Schizosaccharomyces pombe: one gene and its partner. The protein of the gene in region 1 interacts with the protein of each later gene in a pairwise test. Each region holds a gene or a part of one and is shown on either strand. Other genes may lie near its edges.

What was found. Proteins that work in one complex are often made in the same cells at the same time.
Region 2: the proteins of syp1 (region 1) and ede1 interact in a two-hybrid assay, tested with the Schizosaccharomyces pombe proteins (one large-scale study listed by BioGRID).

What each region holds. Positions count from the first base shown.
Region 1 is NC_003423.3:3,119,644-3,128,290, forward strand, and holds syp1 (cytoskeletal protein Syp1), read right to left. Parts: upstream 7,079-8,647; 5' UTR 7,059-7,078; coding exon 7,017-7,058; intron 6,976-7,016; coding exon 4,561-6,975; 3' UTR 4,359-4,560; downstream 1-4,358. Other genes in the region: alpha-1,3-galactosyltransferase Otg3, read right to left, coding at 1-714; alpha-1,3-galactosyltransferase Otg2, read right to left, coding at 1,643-2,761; tif306 (translation initiation factor eIF3f), read right to left, coding at 3,255-4,163; DNA-directed RNA polymerase I complex large subunit Nuc1, read left to right, coding at 8,256-8,647. UniProt on the Schizosaccharomyces pombe protein: Multi-functional protein that contributes to the endocytic process, but also to events that occur at the neck during cytokinesis.
Region 2 is NC_003423.3:268,020-275,999, reverse strand, and holds ede1 (EPS15 repeat-containing family actin cortical patch component protein), read left to right. Parts: upstream 1-1,531; 5' UTR 1,532-1,662; coding exon 1,663-5,013; 3' UTR 5,014-5,552; downstream 5,553-7,980. Other genes in the region: SPOM_SPBC800.11 (inosine-uridine-preferring nucleoside hydrolase), read right to left, coding at 1-93; SPOM_SPBC800.14C (uncharacterized protein), read left to right, coding at 5,811-6,293; sum2 (translation initiation inhibitor), read right to left, coding at 7,046-7,980.

The sequences.
Region 1 (8,647 bases):
AGGAGCACCATAGGCATCGAAATTGTCGCTAAACTGATAATCCTCTTCATCATCTGGCTTCTTAAAGATAGGAAAGCTAAACATATCGGGTTCTGCAGGAGATTCATAAACATAGGGAGTATCAAAAATGTCATCCATGTTTTTCAATACTAGGAGATCGCTATCCAGAATGCAGACCTTATCAAACTGTGTTTGCTCAAATACACTGAGTTTTGTGAACATGTATTGATAACGATAACTGCCCATGCCAATAGACAAACCACTTTCAATTAAGTCTTCAGTTTTAATTTGATCGACCATAATTATTTCGGCCCCATCAAGTCGCAATCGTTCAATTTTCCATTCATCAACCCCTTTCATAACAAGGACATGAACGGGATATTTACTTTTCGTTTCAGGATGATGTTTCAGCTTGTATACTAGTACTCGAGTAGCATTGAAGTATACATCATGTTCTGAAGTAGGAAGGGTAAGTAAGCCCATAAATGTATACCTTTTTAAATCATCTACATTATCGTTATAATATGGGCCATGCTTATGAAGCCCAAATTCATAGGCTGCCGATGAAATTAGCGATCCAGGAAATGCGGGATCCCGATATATTTGGATCCCTAAAAGTAAACCCAAATTCAGCAAAAGAATTAGTGAAATCAAGACAAATTTTGAGCGAAGTAGAAGCCTGGTATGTAAGCGTAACCGCTTAAAGAAATTCATATTCTATAAAGCAAATTTTATCGCTTTCCGCAACTTCGTTTATAGCTATAAAATCCCCACCAGAATAATAAAAACCCTAGGATTATAACTGACTATATCTCGTTAAGACTTGCTAGGTTTAATACAATAAATATAATGTAGTTTGTATTATTGAGTTTGGTAGTGGCTGACTACAATTTAGGAGACTAAAGGTACGATGTAATGCGTACGAAGTATAGTTTTTCATGTAAAATTTTAAGATTATTTGAGTTTACAGTACTTGTTATTTGACATTAAAAGGTTTAAAAAATTTATCAATTACTTGCTATTGATATTTTCTATCCCATCTTCACTCTATCTAAAACCAAGCCTTCTTTGATATATATATTTAAAACAACTTTTAAATAGATTTGCTACCTAAAACATTTTCAAATGTCTTATTGAAATCTAAAAATGAAAAACATGCTAAGGATACGTATGCTCACTAATTAGCAATTTTTATATAAATCCGTTGGTTTTCCTTTGGTCAAAGAAAAAGCATTTATAACATGTTTGCTTACAATTTTAAAATTGATGATAGGACTAACACTTGATTCTTTACACTAATTAGGAATTTTTTAAGAAGGAGCAAAATTTCTTGAAACCATTGAACTTTCAGTGAGTTTTAAACATACGTGATCTAATTTGCATACAGAGAGGAAGCTATTTTTTTGATTATGGTTTACCTGTATCCAGAATCCCATCGATCGTGTATATGAATTTGAATAGTATAGTGGTTTTAAAAAAGGACGGAGGAAACACAAATTATTTTAGAATGACTGTAAAAATGAGATAGCCTTTCAACAGTACGTGTTGTCAGCAATACATTAAATGAAAATAACTGCTTCTTAAAAGTCAAAAGCCGCCTTATTTTTTACTTGATCACGACATGAAAATTGCTTTCATCTGTTTAATATAAATCAGCATTACGTTGTTGGTCATGATACGTTTGCATTTCTTGAAACGCATCCCACCATAGCTTGGATGTGTCTTCATCATAACCTAGACTTCCTTCTGGTTGCCAATGTTTTCCATGAACTGCTTTTAGATATGGTAAGTCATTTTTTCTAGCCCAAAGTCCGTTAAAAGTCCAATCAAGTGACTCCCATGGAAAAGCACCTGCTGAATTGTATGCAAAATTTAGCAAACTTTGCTCCATCATGTTTGCATTATCATACAATTTTGGAAACCTTGCTAATGCCATTAACCTTTTATAATGTGCCTTCAATGGCTTAAAGACGAATAGACCAGCATTAAAATAATCTTTAAAAGGAGGAGGAGTTTCATGCCACATACCTGGATCGGACACAGCAGCGAAAACGTAGGGATAAAGATCGTCTCTTGTCAGCCCGTAAGCTGCAAACTCTTCTGTAAAGCGTCTCCAAAAAATGCTGCGCCTAGGCTTGTAGAATAGGGTGGGAGGAAACAGAACAGAATCCTTACTATAGGAGAGTTGGTGAACATCAAAAACTTTGTCCATTTTTTTAATAGGCAAAATATCACTATCAAGAAAACATATTCTATCATATTCGTACATTTCGAAAACTCTCAACTTGGTAAACATCATACTCCATCGGGAATCCAGTAGGGCAATGTCATTGACATCGTCAACCACTTCATGAGCATATAGTGGATCGACTACTTTAACAATAGCTCCGTCTTCCTGCAATTGATCAAGCTTCCACTGATCAATTCCCTTCATGGCTAGCACTACAACGGGATACTTGCTTTTCGTAGGTTTAAATTTGACAAGTCGGTGAACGAGAAGCCTAGTTGAATTATAATACCAATCCTGTTGCGTATTTTCTACTTCGTTTTCCCCATTAGCGGCGCGTACAGTAAGCATAGTTACAAATGCCATCTTAGAAGAGGGCGCCAACCCTGTCAGTGTGTAAACTGACCTTTGTATTTCTGGACTATGATTGTATAGCAAAACACATTGCCAACCTAATAAAATAATGCTCAAGGTAATCAGTAAACACAGTCCTAGTCGTTTGGGATGGCGAAAAGCACTAAAATATAAACGCATTTTAATGGCAATTGATTGCCAAATTATAAAATGGTGGTGCTTTCGGAGAGAATTACTCTACATACTCCCTTAATGTTTGTTGGTGCATCATACACATTTTGCTTACTTTCAATACCAAAACAAACTCAACACCCTGAAAAACAAATAACATAATTAAATCGACTTTATAACGTAAAAACATCAAATGTTTAAAAATTAAACAAGCTTACTATTTTAACTATAAGAAATGTTAAGATACATGACTCTGACTTAAAATTTTCTCTTATTTAATAAGACGTTTAACCTAAACCAATTATAGTATAATACTAAATAGTTACCGACAAGCTAAGCTACTCAAACTATGTCGAAATGGGTGAATGACGAGATAAAGACAGTTGCTTCCACTGAGGGTTAACAGCCAGTGTGAAAAAAGGATAAAATAACGGTGACTTGAAAAAAGGGCTATCGAACAACTGTTAGAAATTGTCCGGATTTTTTAGGTTATAACAATTGCTTAGGGAAGCAAATTAAGACGGGAAGCAATATCCACTTGAGTACGTAAGGTATTTGCGAGATAAACTACAACCAAAACATCTTGAAGATGTGATGAAAAAATTTTTTCAAAATCTTGGCCTTCTACGCAAGGAATTAAACTAAAGCACTTCATCAAATATCTACCGACAGCAACATTAGCAGGCGAAGAACCATCAATTACGTTTTGCACATAATCGGAAACTCTTTCAATCATAGATAAAAGCTCCAAGGTTGATCTTCGAAGTTGCTGGAGATCTGTGAATAGGCTAGCAAGTCTAGATGGGTCATTCTTAGGAGCAGCTACAGCTTTCAAACCAGAACGGACTGCCTCGTCATCACGAATGGTAAAAGGGGTAGGGACGAATGCACAGCTGTCAGCAAGGCGCTCTGTAATACCTACTGGTGAAGAAACGTAAGTCTTGATGGCAAGGGGACTGCTAACATCTGTGTTGACAGTAAGGTGAACACAGGGATGAGGATACGTTCCTAGTGGAGCAGTTCCGGGTTCAGCAGGAGAAGCATATAAATTTTGAATCAGTGCACTGAAAGCATCTAAATCAGGAGAAGTAGCATACCAACCAACGACAACTTCACGAGGGTTAGCCTTGAGGTGTAAATGGTACATCGCACGATGATATTCCATTTCAACTTCTACCTGCTCACTGCTCTCATTATGAGGAACTGCAAAACAACTTTTAATCTCAATTTCTCGGCCATCTTCAGAACGTGTTCCCAAAAGTGTACCGATAACACGTTGATTATTTTCACTTTTCCGGGTTGAATGGTCAAGGATAGAAAAAAGCACTGCTGGTTCAATGACAATGTTCAAAGGACTTGACCTGGAAGACGGTTTTGTGAGATGGAGTACGTGCTTAGTCCCCAAAGCCATTTTTTAAAATTTTCACGTTGTTGGCTACTCTCAGGTAGGTAGATCTGGTATTGTTCCCCAATCAATAATAATTTTACTGTACTAGTTTACAGTCTCATAGAATTCGTTAAATTGAAGACACTATTTTTCGCCTAACTTCTAAGGTTTACCATTTAAGAAAGTGTATTTTCAGTTGCGTTGAATAATCTAAAAAATCTCCTTAACAATGTCTCATTTGTACGTACAATAATGAGAAACTCTTTATTCAAAATTCTATAACTATTTACATTTGTACATTCTCTGGTTAAAAATCATTTATATATATATACAATGTTCAAAAAATTCGGTTAGCAAAAAAGTGTAAACATAAAACCCAAAAAAGCAGTTTGCTTTTTCTTGACTAATAATGAACAGTAATTTAACTCATATCAGCAAAAACAGAGCACTCACGAACATGAATACCATAGGAAGTAGGAACCTTCGTTTCTTCATAAGCACTTTCTAGCTGAGAACCTCCACTAGAAGAAGTAGTATCAAACATATCTGGTTTCAAAAACAATTTGGTGAGACCAGGGTTATTAGAGGAATCAACCATGCGAATACGGAACTCGATAACTGGCTTTCTAATAGCAGCACTAGGACTAATCGCAAACTTGGCTAAAATTTTAAATCCAGACGAAGATATATTAATGTTCGAAAGATGTAGCTTAAGTTTACTAGTTTTCCTGCTAAATTCTCCGGCCGGAGAACTTTGACAGCTTTTTACAAGGACATTTTCCCCCAAGTAAACGATGATAACAAGTTTTTCAATATGAAGAGATGAGCCTAAGTTCCTCCACACAGGATTAGGCTTCACAAATGCAATCATACTACTACTGCTTTCATCATGCTTCCATTTCTGAACAACTGTCAATGGAATGCAACTAGCACCGTTAATACTATCAAGATGTAGATTAAAATCAGTGACTTTGATTGGTGAGAGAAGTAGCTCTGGTATTAAAGAAAGTGTGTTTTCTGAGGGTCCATATTTTACTGCATGGTCATTTAAATGAGTAAAAGACATAGGAAATTCAGACGCAACGCGAACACCCATTTCAGGAGGAGGGGTATTAAAATCCGAGGTATATTTCATGAATATATGACCGGAACAGGAAGGATGAAGAAGGCCATCTTCAGATAATTCACCAGAATACTTTTCGACGATTGAAGCAGAAAGCCCGGAAGAATTTGGGAACTCAGGGTGCCATGTTGCAGTCGAGTCTGGTCCCGATTGTAATGATAAAGTAGACAAATTGGGCAAGCTACCGAGGTTTGATTCCATATAGTCAGACGATGCTGTAGCATAACGATCCATTGTCCCAGCACGACGGGTCCTTCTTGATATAGTGGGATTCTTTCGTAAAGTATTTGCTACCCTTTCAATTGCAGCATTGCTATCCTCGTTTTCAGTAGGCGCAGGGGAAGCCACCGCTGATGTGGGAGACGTTGTTGTTGATCGTGATTGCATGTTGTTAAAGTTCCCACCAAAATCATTGCCATGCATCATGATAGGATTCGAATGTGATGCATTCTCTCTATCGATCGATGAAGGGGTATTTCTTGAGGCTTCAGAGTGCACAGAATTGGGTTTATTAAAGGGGGAAGCCTTGGAGGAAATCTTAGGCGTAACCGTTTCTGCTTGAACATTAGGCTGCACAGGTAGCGGAGCCTCCAAAAAGGATGAGCGAACATTGTTTGCACGAATAGTGGCATCGTTGTCCTCGCCCTCGTCGGAAGTTTCATTAAAGTTTTGATAAGACGAAGCGTTATTATTAGTAGAGGGATGATCCCGAATTTGTGAAGAATGATTGGAATCATAATGTCTTCGTTCGATTGAACTATCATCTATATTCGATGGGTGTTCTTCAGCAGACGAAATACTCGAAGCTTTGGAGTTCTTATTAAAAAAAGCAGTTAATTTATTAGGGCGACCATTAGATTTATGCGAAGGCTTCTTATCCTTTTTAGGCATTATGGTTTTCCGACGAAACAACGTGGACATTTTGTTCTTCAATTTACCACCAGATTCATTTTCTCCATGACTCTTTTCCTCTTTAGATTTTCCATTGTTTATGTGAAAGCCCGATGACTTAGATGGTTTATTAGCAGATGCGGAAGACATAACTTTCGATGTGGAGTTCATGAATTGACGGATTTCACCTTCAATAGGTAGATCAGAATAAACTGCCATAGATTTAGAAAAAAATTCTTGCTGTTTAAGAGCCGTATCAGTTTCCAAACTTGCAATTGTCAGGTAAACTTGTTTCAATATAAGGAGGCGTTCCTCGTCAACAATTTGCAATTTTTCAAACGCTAAAGGAGCATCGGAATCCCAGGTTGCACGAGAAGCAGTGAGATCATTCTGACTCTTAGTATCCGCATCACGGCCTTTTTTTTTTAATCCCTTCAGACCAGGTACAGAAGACGATGCCATCTCCTCTGCAACTGTTGATAACCGCTCTGCTAAACGTCTAAGCGTAGCCGTTTGTGGTGAAGAAGTATAATAATCTATCAAAGGTTTATAAACTTGCGAAGCTATTTGTCCAATGATTTGACTGTGATATCTTGAAATTTCAAGGGTTTCTCCCTCGAGCTGTTTCCAAGCATAATTAAAAGCAAACGATGAATTGTTTTTTTCTTGCATGTTCATTGCAAGCTTATGTAATTGATCTGAGTATTGCCGTTCAATATCCATTCGCTCACGAATCCACTGCGAAAGCATGTCGTTGTCTAGGCGAACTTGCTCTAGGCGCTGTCGAAAGATCGACATGCTGTCGTTTGGAGAGTAGTTTGACTATTTGTTAATAAGAAGGAAATAGCTAAAATAAAGCTTACCAAAAACGCATCTACATACTCCGTTTTCGTCAATGATTCCATGGCGTGGTGGTGGTTAGTGTAGGGGGAATGCGACTCGATACATGACACTTTATTCCAAAATTGCAAAACAAATTGTTTATGGAGGATGATTAGTATTGCTATTAGATGGCTGTTATGAAGACATAAGAAAATATTTTTAATAAGGCAAAATTTTCATTTCTACATACATCAATATCGATGTTTCCGAAATATGCATAAATAAATTAATCGATTATTAACTAGTTAGCTGCTCAATACTATGGATTAGTCTCAAAAATATTTCAATTGAAAAGTGACCCAATATACCAACACATATTCGAACCGCTTAACGATTTCTCAAAAAACACAAGTTTTTGAATAAAAACATATAGGTAGTGAAATCTATTGAAACGTTCAATTTTTTTAAGCCTTCAACATACGCTAATTTCAAATCTGAGTTCTCACTACTATTATCGCACCTTTTTCTATTCTTTCGAAAACATACGTTTGAGCAGAGAAAAAGTCAGTAACAACTTCCATAGTATAAAAAAGAAGGAGATATGTTCAAAAATCAACAAAAAATATGAATAATTGTTCGTAAACCCATATTGTTACCATAGATGAATTTTACTAACTAGTGCTTATAAACGAAAGTTTTCTTTCGCTACTTAAGGTAAGTAAGCAGAAAACATTGAGAATGGCTTTAATTCAATTAAATTTAAAAATGAAGAGAGACCAAGATCAGAAATCCTAACACATGTTAGACTATTAAGGCACTTTATCTGAAGTGAAGTCTAATAAAATGTAAGCAACGAAAGTCAGTTGATTGATACCAACATTCCACTCGCATACAGTACGAATTCTCTAAATAACTCCAGTTTATTTTTATTACGACAATGAAACCATAATGCCATGGTTTAAGTGGTCAATATGTTAACCGTGTAACAATGAAAGTACATCGTAACGTGTTAGCATCAATAATCCGGTTTTTTCGGTTTGTTTATAAATTTACCGATGCGCTAAAATATCTAATTTGTAGTTTACCAAAAAATTTTACGTGTGTTATTGTATATAACGCGCTGTAAAATAAGTAATGAAGCTTCACAGCTATGCACATTGTAACGCATTTCACCGGACTTTAGCAAATTACAGTCTAAGGAAATTTTCTTTTCATACAGAACCAAATAGGTCTGTGGGCGGATTGCATGTGCCGGTTGTATACAAAAGCAAAATAGTACAATGAATATTGCACAGCCAGTCTCTTCGGAGATTAAAAGTGTGAAGTTTGGGATTTACGATGTTGACGATGTCGAAAAAATATCCGTCAAACAAATCGTAAATCCCGTTTTGCTTGACAATTTAAATCACCCTACTAACGGCGGATTATATGACCTTGCTTTGGGTCCATATCTAAAAAATTCTGTTTGCGCTACATGTCATTTGGATGAAAGATACTGCCCTGGTCATTTTGGTCATATAGTACTTCCTATTCCTGCATATCACCCTCTATTTTTTTCTCAAATGTACAATTTATTACGTTCAACTTGCTTGTACTGCCATCATTTCAAGCTTTCAAAAGTCAAGGTTCATCTTTTCTTTTGTAGACTCAAGTTGCTTGATTATGGTCTTTT
Region 2 (7,980 bases), 2.9 Mb from region 1:
ATTGTCGATTATGACCTTTGAAGCAGCACTAGCGGCATAAGCACAAATGATACTTCCAAGAAGACCAATTGCTCCAAGTTTGGCAAAGTGCATGTTTTATTATTCCTTCCTAGGTTCTATTAAATTGACCAGCCTCCTAAGTCATATATAGTAACCATGATCTACACATTATCTGTAAAGACAGATATTTCCAACCGATAAACAAGCACATGTCAGATATACAAATTGGGTATAAATAGATAACCCAAAATCATCGTGTGAAAATGAACATCCGAAAGCTCGGATGTTAAGCCGTCTTTTATCGGCTACTTAAATTTAGTGTCTAGAAGCAAATGATCCCATTCATCCCGTTCTTTTGTGGTAATAGCATTGTCTAAAGGAGGATAAAAAAATTTGGTGTATGATTTTTGGTGTTGAGTAAAATCCTTCAATTCAACGATCTACTTTGAAAGCTAACAAATGTTTTAATCAACTGATCTATAATACCAGACTATGTTTAATCGAAAATGAGACAATCGGTTTTAACACGGTCTAGCACTAAGCAGCCGTCGACCAGGTAAAAATATCGAAGAAGAGGACAGATACTAGTTTTTTAAGTGATTTGACTTGTTTTACTACAGTGATGTAAATGTCTTTACTGGACTAAAAGCAATCTCTCAGAAGAATTAAGATACATCAAGAGAAAGCGTAATAATTGATTTTTGAACTTTCTAATCCGTGAGCTACTGTTCATAACTGGCAAACAAAAAAAGACTCTAAAGAAAGGCAATTGACATTAATCTATTGTAATTGACGTTGGCAGTGTGTATCTTAATTGCTCCGTGAATGCTGCTGATGTTTATTTAATTTACCAATAATGATTCGTTTTCTTTTGTAGATCAAATCATCCATTAAGAAGCAAACAAAGACAAGCTAAAGGGAATTTTGGATGTAATTGAAAGGTCAGTATGTCATGATGGCTTGTCAGAGATTGCAGTACAATTACTTTTTTACAATAAATGTAGAGGTGATGAACTCGGTAATTGGAAAGGTTCAATCTTAAGACGAAGCAATACACTATAGAGCGAATAAAAGAAACGAAAATTGATAATACCGAATAAGTTCTAAAAAAGTTGAGCTTTATTTACACTTCAACTTGACTATGCAACCAGGTGTTGTTTTGTCATACGCATCATTCTGTTGTGAAAATCAAAACATAAAAACAGTAAATTATTTCAAAAGGAACAGACATTTCAGATATCGTTTATGTACGACCTACTTACACGAAACTAGTTCAAAAAAATTGTCGGAAATGAATAGATCAATTAACGCAATGCCGTTAACCATCGTTATATAAAGCTAATGCGATATTGCAAATCATTATGAGCATATTTAAACGCTCTGTTTTCCACGCAAAAGCGTTTAGTGATAGAGTATCATATAGCTAACTACCTTAATTACTACTCCTGCTTAAGGTAGCAGGGTCGATTGCTTTATCTCGGTTACCTTGGATGCTCTCATATAATCGCAGCCTCTCAATTACACCTGATTCAAACAAGTGTGTCTTTTTTGACATTTTGATCGTATTGTAAATCGAATTCTCTTTTTTGGAGGTGATTTCTGAGTTTGCTCAACAAGTGATTTAGTATACTTGAACCACAACGTAAATTGAGCATAGTAGAGATGTCTTTGAATTTGTCTGCGGAAGAGCAAACCGCTTTTGACCAACTGTTTAAAATTGCAGATAAACAAGACATTGGCGTTATCACCGGAGAAGAAGCTGTACCGTTTTTGGAAAAATCGGGCTTAGCTCCTCAAGTCCTTGGTCAAATTTGGCAAATCGCAGATGCTGAGAATCGAGGATTTCTTACATTTTCTGGCTTTGTAATTGCCATGAGGTTGGTGGCTCTCGCACAAGAAAAGCTACCTTTTGATTACAAAAAATCGGGGAAAATTCCATATTTTGCCGATATCCATATCTCTGGCGTTGATTCTTCAAAGTTTGTTCAGCTGAATCGACCAAATAACGTTTCTTCTGGTGATGGATCTGATGGTTCTTTCTTACCTCCTATTTCTTCAGATGAAATGACACGGTATCAACAAATGTTTACTACAGTCTGCCCAACTGACGGTCTGATGGATGGTGACAGAGCTAGCTCAATCTTTGGTCGTGCACCTCTTAGTACTGAAATTCTTGCGCGAGTCTGGAATTTAGTTGATACTCATAAACGCGGGGCTCTGGATATTCGCGAGTTTAATACCGGTATGCATATAATCAACCTTTTATTAAACGGTTCCTTAAAGTCTCCTCCTGTTTCTATTTCACCATCATTTATCGCTTCCGCAGCTTCAACCTCATCAGTTTCTGCACCCTCTCAGTATCCCGGCCTCAGCCGAAGTCCACCTGTGCAAGCTCCAAACATCCCTGTTTCAGATCCATGGGCCATTCCATCTCAAGACTTGACTAGCTTCTGTCAGTTGTTTTCCAACGTTGATAAAGCGCACAAAGGATACGTTTCTGGTAGCGAGGCATATTCGTTTTTCCTTGCTTCTAAACTTCCTGAAGATGTCTTAGCACAAATTTGGGACCTTAGTGACACTAATAGTAACGGTAAATTAAACATTGGTGAGTTTTGTATATCTCTTTATTTAATTAAGCTCAAATTATCCGGAAAAGAGCTACCCAAAGTGCTCCCTTCTTCTATGCTCTCTTCGGTTGCTCCATTAATGCAAAAGAGCAAAAGCGTGCCAACTTCTATCCCTTCCGTTGTTCCTGCTAATATTTCGTCTCCTAATCCCAACCCTACGTTGGCTCCTAATCCTACGGGCCCATCCCGAGTAACTTCAGGAACTGAGGATTTACTAAGCTTGGATGCTACTCCTTTCTCTCCTACCCTTGCTCCTCAACATACATCTTCGAATGCTACAAAGCATTCAGCCCCCCCAGTAACTAAAAGTGCACCGTTCCCTGTTGTTTCACCTCTCCAACTTAACCATACTCCAGGGTTTCCCACTTCTCCAGCTGCTAAACCTAATTCCCCTACATCAACATTCTTTCCTCAATCCAGTTTTGGGCAGACGATTGCCAAAAACACCATGGACAAACCTTCAGCAGTTCGAACTTCTGTTCCCTCACAACTTGCTGCCCCTATTCCTCAGGTTGCGTCTGCCGAACAACTAAAATTAGCTGCAGAGGTACCCAAGTTAGAATCGCAATTATCCCAAGTAAAGAAATCTAATGATGATTTACAAAAGTCATCTCGCGATGTTGCCGCAAACTTAAGCGATGTCAAAGCCAAGGTCAGTGAAATACGAAAGGCCTATGATGAGGAACTAGCAAAAGCCAAGCAGATCAGTTTGGACATTGAAACTAATAAAGCTCAAACTGAGCAAGTTAATCGGGAGTACTCAATTTTGGAAGCCACGCTTAATGCATTGCAAAAACAGAATAAACAAAAGGGTGAAGTTTTAGAGCAAGTCGTTGCAGAATCTGAAGCGGCCAAGAATATGGTAGAGTCATCTAATGCTTCAATTCAACAACTTAAGTCCGAGGTTGCTGATAAAGAGCAGACGCTCGCCCAGTTGCATTTACAATTGGATGAAATGACTCAACGTCTGGTTAGTTTGGACGAAGAGAGTAAGGCTGTTTCGCAAAGAAAACTTGACCTAGAGTACAAAATTAATAACTCTAAAACGCAACTAGCTACCGCAACCGAAGAATATCACGAACACTCTAAACAATTGGAAGCTGAAAAGCAAGAACTCAGCAAATTAGAAGATGGATTGAAATCCGTTAACCTGACTGAAGAAGCTCCGAAACCCGAAGTGGATTCGACACCTCGTTTCCCATCTTTTACCAGCAATGGAATTACCACTGATAAGCCAACCCTTCCTGATACTACTTCCTCGGTGCCCACTCAACATAATTCTTTTGATGCAATGCATAATACTCTCCGTTCTCCATCCCTGAACTCTAATAATTCATCAGCACATGCTTCCACTGTTTCCCGAAATCCATTCCATAACTTGAAAATCTCAGGAGCTAGTTCACCGGTTTCAAATTTCTGGGAAAGTGAATTTGCTTCGGCTGTGTTTCCTAGAAGCATTTCAAAGACTACATCTCTTAGCGTTAATAACTCAAGTGTTAATCCTAGCTTGGACTCTGAACCTGTGCAGTTGTCAAATATGGAGGAGCCACAACATCAGGATAGCAGTGTTGTGGATGTATCAACCTCTGCTTCACAACGTGGATCCCCGGTATTATCTGACTTGTCAAAGTTAACAGGATCTGCCAGAAACACAGCTGAGCCAGTCGAGAATACAAGTGCGGAACCTATTGAAAACACTAGTGCACCTACACCATTTGAAATTGCTAATAAACAACAAGCCACTGAACCTATTAGTGCACCGTTTGCTACTGAAACAATTAGTACACCTGCTCCTGTGAAACCTCCTGTTCCTCCTTCTCGACGCGATAGGTCTGCGCAAGATGGAGTTGTACAACAAGCGACACCTCATATTCAAGATGAGTTTCCACCAATTCAGTTTAATGAGATTGATGATGATGAAAGTTCTAGTGATGAGGAGCCCCCAATGTCTAATCTTTCTCCTCAAATTTCAATTGGATCAGTCACGAATTACACCTCTGCAGTTACGGAGCTTCCTGATCCTAATCATCAATTAGAAATGTCTACGACTACTCATGTACAGCATCCTAATTCGGAGACTATACCCTCAAGTACTGAGAATCAGTACTTTGATACTACATCAGGTGCTTTTGAAGCAAATAGTAATACTGAGGTTACTGTCAATTCTAACGAAGTTAGTCAACCCTTTGATTTTGATACAGCGAACGAATCGGATAACGACGACGACGAGTTACCGGTACAACAAGTTGTCTCAGGATCTCTGGCTAATGATGCTTTTAACGTCGATGATGAATTTGATAATCAATTCGCAAATCTTCAAGCAGCCGAAATAAAGGATGATGACAATAGCTCTACTGATGAAGAAGAACATGCTGGGCATCATTAAGTAGCCGATAAAGCTTAACACTCGTTTTTCTTAATCCTTTTATTGCTGAGATCATTTTGGTATTTTTCCACATGAAGGTGTCAGTTGTGATTTGACTTGACAAATTTTATAAAAAAGTGTTAACGTATAATGGTTGGAAATCAAGTTTAACTGGTTTAATCTATGTAGGACAATTGAACGATATCTGTTAAGGGCTACAGAGATGAGAAACATACCTATCGTTTAAGAGATAGGGTATAGAAAAAAATTCGGATAAATTAATCCCGGCTGTTAACAAAGGTCAAACGTTACGATGGATATGCTCCATGTTGTGGGTATATGCTAAATCATGTTTCCAAAGGATCGTTAGACAGGATATTACACATTTGGAAATCGCAACCGCTTGAAATACTTCTAGGGTAGTACTCCGCTGGGCTAGCATACCATTGTCAATGCTTTAGCCTCGCAATCATGTAAATAGTTCTTATACTTACCAAATAAATCTGGTAATTTAGCACATTTCGGGGTATAAGCTATTAAACCAAAGCGTAGAAAACAGCCTCTGATATACCGTATCTTTTAGTAGGATTTCAGGATGGTATAAAATCATGAGAAAGGCTTCTGTTAAATCAATATCAAAGTCTTAATTTCATATTGCTTGTATACCCAGGTGGCCACTATGGCAATAGTAGCATATTACTATAAACAGTTTCTTAGTTACATATAAATTGGTAGAGGAAATTAAACGTTGGAATATACATTGTACTTAACATACACCTTCAGCCACACCAATTTTCACTCAATTTCACTAATTCACGATGAGTCTTGTCTATTTGTTTCAATCTGTCGGAATTCTTACTCCTTGCGGAAGTGCAGGAGCCATTGCTTACATTACCAGTCAAGTGTTGCCTGCTATTTTAATCGGTCCTGCAGACGTCGCTCTGGCTCAATGGAAATACATATATAGTATGGGCAAAAAGAGCTTCCCATTTTTAGCCATTGCCAATGCTCTGGTTCAGGGCTATTTGTCTTATTCGGAACGGAAGAGAAGTATATTCTCTTCAAAATTGTATGCTATATCGGCTTTATCTGGACTATGTATTATTCCTTTCACGCTTTTGTTTATGAAAAAGGACATTAACTCTTTACAAACGTTAAATCCAGATCTAATACTTAAAGATGTAAAGGCTACTCAAAATTTCCGCAGTATAATTCACAGATGGGGTTTTAAAAACTTATTTCGAAGCGCATTTATGTTTTTCTCTGGTTTAGCTTCAATCGCTGGATCAATTTACTTTTGATAACAAAACATAATTGTAATGTATCGTTTACGTGTTAACTCTTGCGTTCCGATATTCGTTGATGATCAAATAATATTAAGTTCTAATTTTTCTACTGCTGATTATTAAAACACTATATCACGTAGTTAAGTTCGTGAAATTTAAACTATTAAAAAATGCTAAAATTAAGAGAGCACATTTTTATTTTTAAAACGATTCGCTTATAAATTGTTCATACTGCTCAAACATTGTTGTTTGGATTCTATAGTTTGTCAGCTTCAAACAAGTCGACTGAATCAAATTTTTACAAAACGCTTTTCAAAAACGAAACGACTGTTGAAAAACACGGGTTGTTCAATGTTCAGTCATGCAACCAGCGATGCTTTGGGTCTATCAAGGTGTATAAAAGAATAAACATTAGCGGATTGGTTAAGTCTTCAACCTTTTGGTAATTATATGTAACCCATTAACATTTATTCGTAATACCTTTACGAAATCTCGGTATAGGATATCGTTTCAATGCTTGTTCTTCTTGCGTAATACATGAGCAGATAAGTATAGTTTTTAAAGCACTCTACAAGAACTTAACAAAACTCCTAAGTTAAATATCAAATAACAACGACTAATCCTTTTGGTTTATATAAGAGAACACCTTTTTTCGGGTCGTTAAATACATGTCCATAAATTTTGAGTTCATCATGATTGAAACGAAGACGAAGCTCAATCTAGAGAAACGAGGATACTTCATCTGTACTCATTATAAGAAATGCAGTTCATTGGTCGTTTGCAGGCTGGGCTCTAGGTTGAGAGCCATTGGAATTCCTGTATTGGTTATATTGATTTCTTGCATATCCACGTCCACGACCTCTACCACCACGTCCACGACCACGTCCACGACGGCCGCGATTTCCAGAGCCAGCAACGCCAAATGTCTCCATGTTCAAAGAACGTTCGCGATCTCGTAGAGCTCTTCTATCTGCAGCTTCCATACCCTTCTCTTTACTTTCACAACTAATATTATCAAAAAAAGATTGCTTAGGCTTGTAAAATTCTTCGGCTTCTTCATCATTTTTTCCTTTTAACAAATCATCTTTCATCGATTGAAACTTTTGATTTGCAGTTTGAAAGTCAAATTCGGTACGAGGCTTTGCAGCACTAGCATCAGGTTGAGTTGTAGGAACTTCTTTAGAAGGTCCAGATGTTTCAACGGTTTGGGATTGAGAGACATCCACAGTAGTATTCACAACACGGTCATTTGTGACAGTGGAATTCCGTATACTAGTACTTTCTTTTTCAATAGATGCTTCAATGGAGGGCTGTGCACCTGGTATCACTCCATTCGTGGGCGGCATGGATTGAAGAGACGGAGATGCAGATACCGCGGTAGGACCAGGAGCAGGCATGCCCGGAGCAAAGTTGGGAGGCTTCTGGTTTGAAGGCATTCCGTATCCAGGACGTACGTTGTACGGGGCCTGACCGGCAAACCCTTGAGAAACATTTTGAGCAAACTCAGGACGTTGACCCATTTGCTGTTGATCAGGTGCCCCATAATACGGGACCGCAGGTGTGGATGCGTCTAAGGGAGTACCCAAAGGCAAACCTCCAGGAGGTACAAATTGAGCGGGAGCATTCGGGTACATATAGTAAGGTGCACCTGCTGGAGGAGCCTGTTGGTATGGAGCTCCATAAGGGTTAGGTTGAACAGGCT